2 linked regions of the Nothobranchius furzeri genome follow. The protein of the gene in region 2 interacts with the protein of the main gene of each other region in a pairwise test. Links are inferred from orthologs where the notes say so. Each region holds a gene or a part of one and is shown on either strand. Other genes may lie near its edges. The genes, in order: mcmbp and asl.

Region 1 (4,045 bases), on a different chromosome or scaffold from region 2:
ATTTTATCCTTAAGTACAGGTTTTCCCTGGCTTCTTGTTGTTGATCAACACAAATGATGAGGATTAGCTTTGTGGCTAAGTGTCCCAAGATGAAAGGGGTCCCATCTTTGTAGTCCTCACTCCCGTTGGCTCACCAGCAGGTAACGCGTGGATTTGTTTGTCTGGTTCGTGTGACACGAGACTTCAGTCTTGGCTGCTTTGCAGGTGCTGCTTTTAGTACGTGGTGCTGCCAAAGCTGCAGCTGTAGCGCAGTTTTAACGCTTACGGGAATTTTAATCAGGTTCAACACTGGAGCGGTTCGTTTTATCTTGTGCTAAAAAGCATTCCTCCTGATGCTGTCAGCTTTTTTACTTTGACACATTTGCTGGCTGTTTTGTCTCCTTTTGTTTTCACACCAAGTGCATTTTTTGTGTCCTTTCGTTTCGACCCGAGACACAAATATCAGGTTTTTTCTGTTGGCGCTGCTGAAGCACATTTCCCCGATGTCACGTCTCCTCTTCTGTACCAACCTGACCGATGACATTGTTCTCCACCGTGTACTCAGATGTGTTGTATATTAAAGGATCCTATTTATTATCTTTGGGTGTTAATAAAAAGAACATTTTACACTTTTTGGTCTGGAATGAAAAGATGACACATGAGCTGCACAAGTTTTATTAAATCTATTTACTCGTGAGACAAACTGTTAAATGCACCGTGCTGAATGTAAACAGGAAGTTGGCTCTGCAGTTACACATTATAAACAGTCGGCTGTTATTGAGTCATACCTTTAATTCTAGTTGGAATATATAAATCTTTAGTTTACAAAAAGGTGAAAAAACTTTATTAAACTGTTCTAACAAAAGGAAAACCGTTGAGCTGTCCCGCGCGTGAGCTCACGGCTCGTTGCCGTTCACGCTCTTGTGTTGCTCTATTCGGCTCCTTCGCAGTGTCTCGATGTGTTTGGCTCTCAGCCAGCTGTCTCTGGACAGGGACGTGTGTCCCAGGCTCAGGGACAGCAACCTGCGGACGGAGACGCACACACACTCAGTCGGGTTTCAGCTTTTCACTCATCTTGAACAGGAAATCTAGATGCCGACGGTCAGAAGGCATCGTTCGGCGCTCAGTTAACCTTCACGAGGAGCCGCAGTCTGGACAAACGGCTTTTATGACCGCACCGATGAGCTAACGGCTAGGCTGAACACAACACCAGTTACTGATCTGTCATAACGGTTCACGCTCAGGTTTCTACAATAAATGCTTATTTATGTGGAACTTATGGAGTAAGTGTCACCAGCAGCGGCCAGATATGGCAAATAAAAACAGATTTTAGAGCATTTGTTGTGCAGATGTTATTCAGGAACATAAATGTACATTTTGGTCAACTTTACTCATTTTTTTATATTTTTGCAGTGGAATAAATGCCTTTTAAGTCGTACTCCGGGGACAAAAACTCACAGAAGGCTGCCAGAGAAAAAAAAAGTTACAGACGACAGGATTTGGATTCCTGATATTTGGACAGCTCTGATTGGCTAACAACAACACGACTCTACCACTGACTGCTCTGCAACGTTGATGTTTCATCTCCACAAATAACACAAGCCTGGAGAAGTTCTGCTGTGTGGTGGAGTTGCTAATGCTAACAGTTAGCTTCTACTAGCTGAGACGTTCTTTGCTGTTTCCTGGACGCTAAACCAACAACAGCCTTCCCCGTCGTGAGCCAACATGGGCGAGTCGATGAATGTTAGTGACAGTGTGACTTAGATCTGTCAGGATTTTCTAATCCTAGAGTTTCACCGTCTGTTTTCTATCAGAAGCTAAAGCTTGGTTTATGCTTGACGCATTTACTTTCCACGCGGTGATGCGGCTCGCGGATGGAACGCGCTTCACAACTCGCAGCGTTTATGGTTCGTGCGGCTTGTCTCTGCGGTGAGCCAATATTCTCCCAAACTGTAGGGGGCAGCATGGAGCTCTATGGCATGCATCCAACACTACACCATAGTAGAAGTAGAAATTACTGTTTACAACATGGCATTTCAGCATTTTTAACAGCGTTCTCGTCTTTTCCGACAGTGCGAGCTATTTCTCTCCAAGAATTATTAACAACATGTTGATCACGGTGATCTCTGAGAGCTGAATCATACAAATGTCTGTATTTACGAACCTCTGCCATACTAGATCTTGCCGGTCCGCCATGTTTTCCCGCGTCCGTCCGTCCGCGTGGTTAGAAATTTTCCGAGGTGTGCGTTGCGGAAATTCTGGGCCGTGCGGAGGTGCGGTGGAGGGGCGTGGTTGTTAAAATGACGCAACTTTTCCGTGCGGCCCTCGCGGACGCGTCAAGCATAAACCAACCTTAATGCAGGAGATAGGTGTAGGAGACTATCATCATGTTCAGCCTGCATGAAAAACCTCAGAGTGAACTGTTAAAATCAGAAATAATTAGTTAAAAAATAAATGGTTCCTAGAAGAACCTAGTCTTCAACAGCCTTGTAAGCTAATAAAACTCAGTTCTACTTTGGAGGAGAACCTAGTCTGAGCTCACCTGGCCACTACAAGCAGCCTGTGGAGATCTTCTGCAGAAACGCCCTGGGGGTCGTCCTTCCTCATCTCCACAAAGTCCTCCTCCACTGACTTGACGGGCAGAAAGCAGAGATGTAAAAACAACCAAAAGGCTCTTTAACCGTGTCCTGGCACACGTCCAGCCTCACCTTGGTCACGTCGTCTGAGATGCTGTAGTCGAGCAGACGTGCCACGCCCAGATAAACTCTGAACTTGTTCAGCTGCGAGGACACCTGCGGGTGGACGTGGACGCTCCTGATGTACTCCTCTACGTGGGACGAAGACACTTGCGGTTGCAGATGTATGTGACAGTCGGACTGTAGGAATAGAAGCGTCAGGACTTCACCCAGGAGCCAGAGAAAGCCTCGAGCCTGAGCCCACGGTTCAGCATAAACAGTCTGACGTAAACGCTGCCATGTACAGGTTTGTTTACAGCGCTCGGGGTGAGCATATCGCCCCATGTGACGCCACTCCCTGGATTGTTCCTGTAGCACGCAGCTGCCAACACGGCAACTCATTAGAGCAGCATCCAGGAATAGCACATGGCGCATTCCTCGTGCTGCCGGCAGCAGCGCGTCACCCCGGCTAAGGCTGCGGCACGGAGGGGGGTCTGCAGCTGGCCAGTGGCAGCTGTTAGCACAACCTCCAGCTTCTGACGCGGCTGCGTCTCATGAGAAACTAGTGGAAACCCAACCGGGGTGCGCGTCTTAAATAGACAGGAGAGAGTTTACAGTCTGCAGCAGCACCTGATTGGCTCTTACCGGCAGCAGTGAGCGACCCTCGGATGCGACGAGCACGTTAATATTGCAGGGGAACTCCATCTGATGGTAGTTGAAGTCATAATCAACCTTCTGCCACGAGATCAGGTTCCCCATGGCCGTGACATTACGCACACCTACAACACAGGAGAGAAGATTGCTTACCAGATCATTAGGATGATCAGTGCTGCCCCCTTGTGGCTAGCAGAGGTCCCACCTGTTGTGTCCAACTGTCCCTGCTCTAGCTGGGTTTCATCCAGGAAGAGGGAGGTGTTTTGGGACAGCTGCAGGGTTCCGCTCGTCAGGCGGTTTGCGATGTAGTCCTTCTTAGGCACCAGCCGCAGCTGGTTCATGTTCTGGAGGCTCATGCCCAGGTAATGGGACTGCAGGTAAAATCATTTAAGGCCCATTAGCAGACGAACGCACGGAAACGGAAACCTCTGGGTCTGGACTCACCGAAGGCACAAGCTGCTGGATGATCTGGTAAAGGCGCTCGGCGTACGGGGGCGCGGTCGGACAGCCGCTCAGGTTCAAGGTGAACTTTCCCAGGGGGAGAACATCCCTTCTGGCATATCTGGGAGGGAGGAATCAAACTCAGGCGAAAGCATCCCCAAAGCCACAAAACGGGAACTTACTGAGCTCTGGAGGGGGCGTGGGAAAAATAAGAGACATTTTTGGATCCTGGCTTTGTTTTGGTACATGGTCTGTATTTGAATAGCACCTTCTTAGGGTTCTACAGCCCCCCAAGT
Region 2 (4,104 bases):
AACGGTAGAACCCGCCCCACAACCGAGAGCCGTCAATGGAGCGTGGCCAGACTAAATAATACATTTATTTAGTCTGGCTTGCCAGGCTATAAAAGAGCCTCTATGCTGTATTTTTGCATACTTACTGTAAAGATCCCCCCCGCTCCTCATGCCGGTTGTCCCCCCCTTCTAAAGTCAAAACTATGTCCATGTATGAATGAGAGATAACATGTGAAGTATTAGAGTAACAGAATAAGAGCAAACACCAGAAGCCTGTTTCTTTGTAGAATGAAAAAGACACATTTTACATTAAAAGACATTATTCTATGAATTGCAGCTTTTTTATTTGCAACTTTAATTCTCCTAAATAGGACCTGATTGCATGTTTAGTCCTTTCTCACCGAAGAAATGCTCTTTTGTTCCTCTAAATGGCATGATGTTTGTTTACGTAGTTAAAATGGTTTGATTATGGATTATGTGGAGAGACAATCTGTGGATTATAAAAGAAGGAACATTGGTTTCATGGTGCAAATCATTCAAACTCAGCAGTAAAGTGTAACAGCAACTTTATTTTGTCACCTGCTGAACACTGATCAGACAGGACGGTTAAGCGAGACGGCACACATTTTTGAAAATCAAAGCCGTGTCTGGATGTAACAGTTTACTTTGACCTAAACCTGACAGCAGTAGCTGGGATTAAAGTCACTGTGTTTGCTTTGTCAGCCAGATCCTCAGGTGTTCCACCTGCGCAGCGACGCTACTCTTGGCTGTACCTCCGGGGGCTCTGTACTGCTCCACGCTGCTCCTGTAGTCCCACACTGAGGAAACGTCGCCTCCAAACAGAGGGCTAGAGCCAAAAAAACACAAAAAGGAAAAAAAAAAATTAGAGGCGATTCAAAATCCTGAGATCAGGGAGAAACTTTTGAATATCAAAAGTAAAATTAGATGCTACAACAGCTGACGGAAACATGAGAGTTCCACCTAACAGCAGTCAGGTCCTCCACAGTGAGCTGATTCAGGCTGATGTGTTGAGATTCAGCTGCAAACACAGCTTTACCAGAGACTCCATGAGCCTCTCTAAAGGGAACCTGCAATTAGAAAGCAGCGATGATTTCACATATTTGCTTCAGTCCCACACTTCCTGTTACACCTCTGGATCTATTTCTTTATTTCGGCGTCTGCTACACATGGATAGCCAGCGCCTCTAACTCACCCCCTTCCTCACAAGGTAGTAGGCCAGATCAGTGGCCAACATGTCGGGACTCAGGGCAGCTTCCATCACGCTCTGGTTGATCTAAAACACCAGGAATGAAACTGAGCTACTGATTCTAATGTTCCCTTAAAAAACAGAAATACAGACTATTTTTGTCAAAATACTTCAGCGTTTTTACTTTGACACAAGATTTTATTCCAGTAATCCTAACAATCTCATACTTCTGGTTTTCATTTTGATCATCAAACTAAACAAACAGGATATACAAATCCACGCATAAAACTATCAGTGATTTAGGTCTCTGACCTTAAGAGTGGACATGACTCCAGTTGTCACCTGCAGCACAGCCTGGACAGTATCGAAACAGTCAAACATGGCCTCCTTATCCTCCTGAACAGGAACGGAGAGGAGAAATAGAACAGAAAGTCAGGAATATTAGATTTCTTTTTTCATGATGTGAGATAACACACAGTGGAGGCGTCCTATCAAACCTGCAGGTCCTTGTTATAAGTGCTGGGCAGGCCTTTGAGTGTCATCATGAACCCCGAACACTAAAATATAAAATAATTAAATGTGAAATTATCATTAATATTATTGTTGTGATGGTAGGTATGAAGAAAAAATGTTTGTAACATTTTGCTGCTATAATTATGAGCTACCGTCGAGGTAAAAACGTTAAATTAGCCCTTTAATAAACATATGTTAAGCAGAAATACAACAAAAACTAGTCCTAAATCTTACTTTGCCAAAGACACGACCTGCTTTACTCCTGATCAGCTCCAGGCTGTCAGCGTTCTTCTTCTGAGGCATCAAACTGCTGCCTGTGCTACAAACAGATGAGACTAGCAGCGTCACACAGGAGGAAGAGCTTTATGAAGCACACAGAGCAACACACACCTCAGCATTACATTTAATACATAACTTATGAAATGAGCTATTTTTATTTCTGACTGTGTTGCTTTGCTCATCAAACTGAAAAGATGTTTATTGTGAAATAATAACCTGTTGGAATGAAGGCGACTTTGAAACAGATTTCCTTCTCAGCCAGCTGGGCGACTGCCAGTTTTTCTCCTTTTAAAGTAGTAACAGTTTAGCTTTTAAGCCGGGCGTACACTGTGCGGCTTTTTCACTCGTAGCACTCAGCTTCAGCTCAAACTGTACGACTTCCTCGCAGAGCAGATCTCACGAGTCGTGTGCTCACACTGTACGACCCAGTTCTCGCATGCGACCTGACTGCTCACACTGTACGTCTGGTAGCAACACGTCGGCCCTAAAAATGTGCTAAAAATAGCAGTTTTTACTCAACACGTCAGACTTTTTTGTCTTGCCTGTTGTCCTTCGGGAGTGCTGCTGGAGGACACACAGGGATTTATGGGGGTTAGATGAGGAAAACGAAATAAAGAAAGTGAATCTGTGTTTTGTGATCAGTTTAATTTGACATGAACACGACAAACACGCTTTCTTGACAATCTTTGTGAGTAAAAAAAACGTGTAGAAACAAAAACGAACAGCGTGTGTTATTAGGGAAATAGCGAGCGACCGGCGTTGATGCAGGATTGCGCGCGCATGCGCCGTGAGCGGTTCTGATACTTTTTTGGATCGTAGCTGCTCGCAGCTGCTCGCAGCGCCGCTTCAACAGTGCGATACCCTCACGAGGGACGAGCGAAATATTAAACGCACCAGAAGTCCCTGCGACCTCACGACTGCTGATCGGCGGCTGGTCACGTGGTGTTAATCGCCTCTCGTAACCCCCTGTACACTACACGACCGCTCGGCGCAAAACTCGCCCCGATATCGTGGCTTCTCGCACGACTGGAAAATCGGCTCAAAAAAGTGAAAAAGTCGCACAGTGTACGCCCGGCTTAACAGTGATCAGTTAGAAACTTGCTCAGTTTCATTTTTGACACCACTCTGCTGCCCTCTGCTGGCCAAAAACTGCACTTGATAGTTTTGTGGAGCGGGTAGGTGCCCTACAGAAATCTCGGACTGATGGTGACCTGACTTTTTTTACTGCTGGACTTGTAAGTATTAATATTTTATGTCCAACAGTGTGGATCCTTTTACTTTGTGGTTAATTTTAGCATAGTTGGTTCATGTTAGTGTTAGCTCATTGTTAGCACTAGCTACAGCAGGGTTGTTTTACGACAGTTGTTATTCCACTTTCAACCAGTAAGGCAGAGGAGCAGGAAACTTTAAAAAGGCCAAAGAGGGATCTAGGCCCAATCCCAATATTAGCACTGCACCCTGCGGTCTTCAGCAAAGTGCACGTGGAGAAAGTGTGCAGTAAGGCTTTGAGTGCGTGGTACACACGTGTGCAAATAATTGCCAAATTGAGATAGGGAGCATTGCTTAATCAACCGCAACACATGCTGGGATGCTGGTCACTCTGATACATTGGAAAATAAACCTTTATTAACAACTGTAGACAAATATATATATATTTGAAATAAATATATGTTAATTGCTGCTTTGTCTAAAAGTTTCAGAGCATCAACTAACTGTCTTAAAATGAACTACTTTCATTAGAAAATATATTTTTTCAGAAAAAGGCATTTGAGCCTTTTCTCATTCAGCAATGGATTGTGGGTAATACCGTTCGCTAAAGTCAGCATTGATGCACATGAAATGCAGATCAAGCGTGCAAGGGGGCGTGATCAACTTCCGCACTTGAGCATCGGGACAACCGACGCACTCATACCCCTGGTCGGGATCACGCAATTGAACAGCGTAAGTGTGGAAGTGTGAGTAATAGGATTGGGCCGTAGTGTTTAGTTACAATCTGTCCCGCCACCAGACTTCCTGATTCCAGAGCCAATCATATGCGAGCCCCCAAGGTTGTAAAGTCTGCGCCAGCAAACGCTGCTGTTTACACCAACCGGAAAAAAGCTAGAATGTTGTGGAAACGAATGGAA

What was found.
Region 1: the proteins of asl (region 2) and mcmbp interact in binary tests that used the Homo sapiens proteins (3 or more experiments, as listed by UniProt). The two-hybrid records come from large-scale screens. The link is inferred for Nothobranchius furzeri from reciprocal best matches to the Homo sapiens genes ASL and MCMBP.

The regions. Positions count from the first base shown.
Region 1 is NC_091752.1:5,506,603-5,510,647, reverse strand, and holds the end of mcmbp (mini-chromosome maintenance complex-binding protein), read right to left. Parts: intron 3,871-4,045; coding exon 3,753-3,870; intron 3,680-3,752; coding exon 3,514-3,679; intron 3,434-3,513; coding exon 3,300-3,433; intron 2,856-3,299; coding exon 2,688-2,855; intron 2,611-2,687; coding exon 2,522-2,610; intron 1,003-2,521; coding exon 876-1,002; 3' UTR 639-875; downstream 1-638. UniProt on the Homo sapiens protein: Associated component of the MCM complex that acts as a regulator of DNA replication.
Region 2 is NC_091750.1:61,109,829-61,113,932, forward strand, and holds the end of asl (argininosuccinate lyase), read right to left. Parts: intron 2,019-4,104; coding exon 1,934-2,018; intron 1,744-1,933; coding exon 1,684-1,743; intron 1,583-1,683; coding exon 1,499-1,582; intron 1,274-1,498; coding exon 1,193-1,273; intron 1,068-1,192; coding exon 961-1,067; intron 827-960; coding exon 682-826; 3' UTR 529-681; downstream 1-528.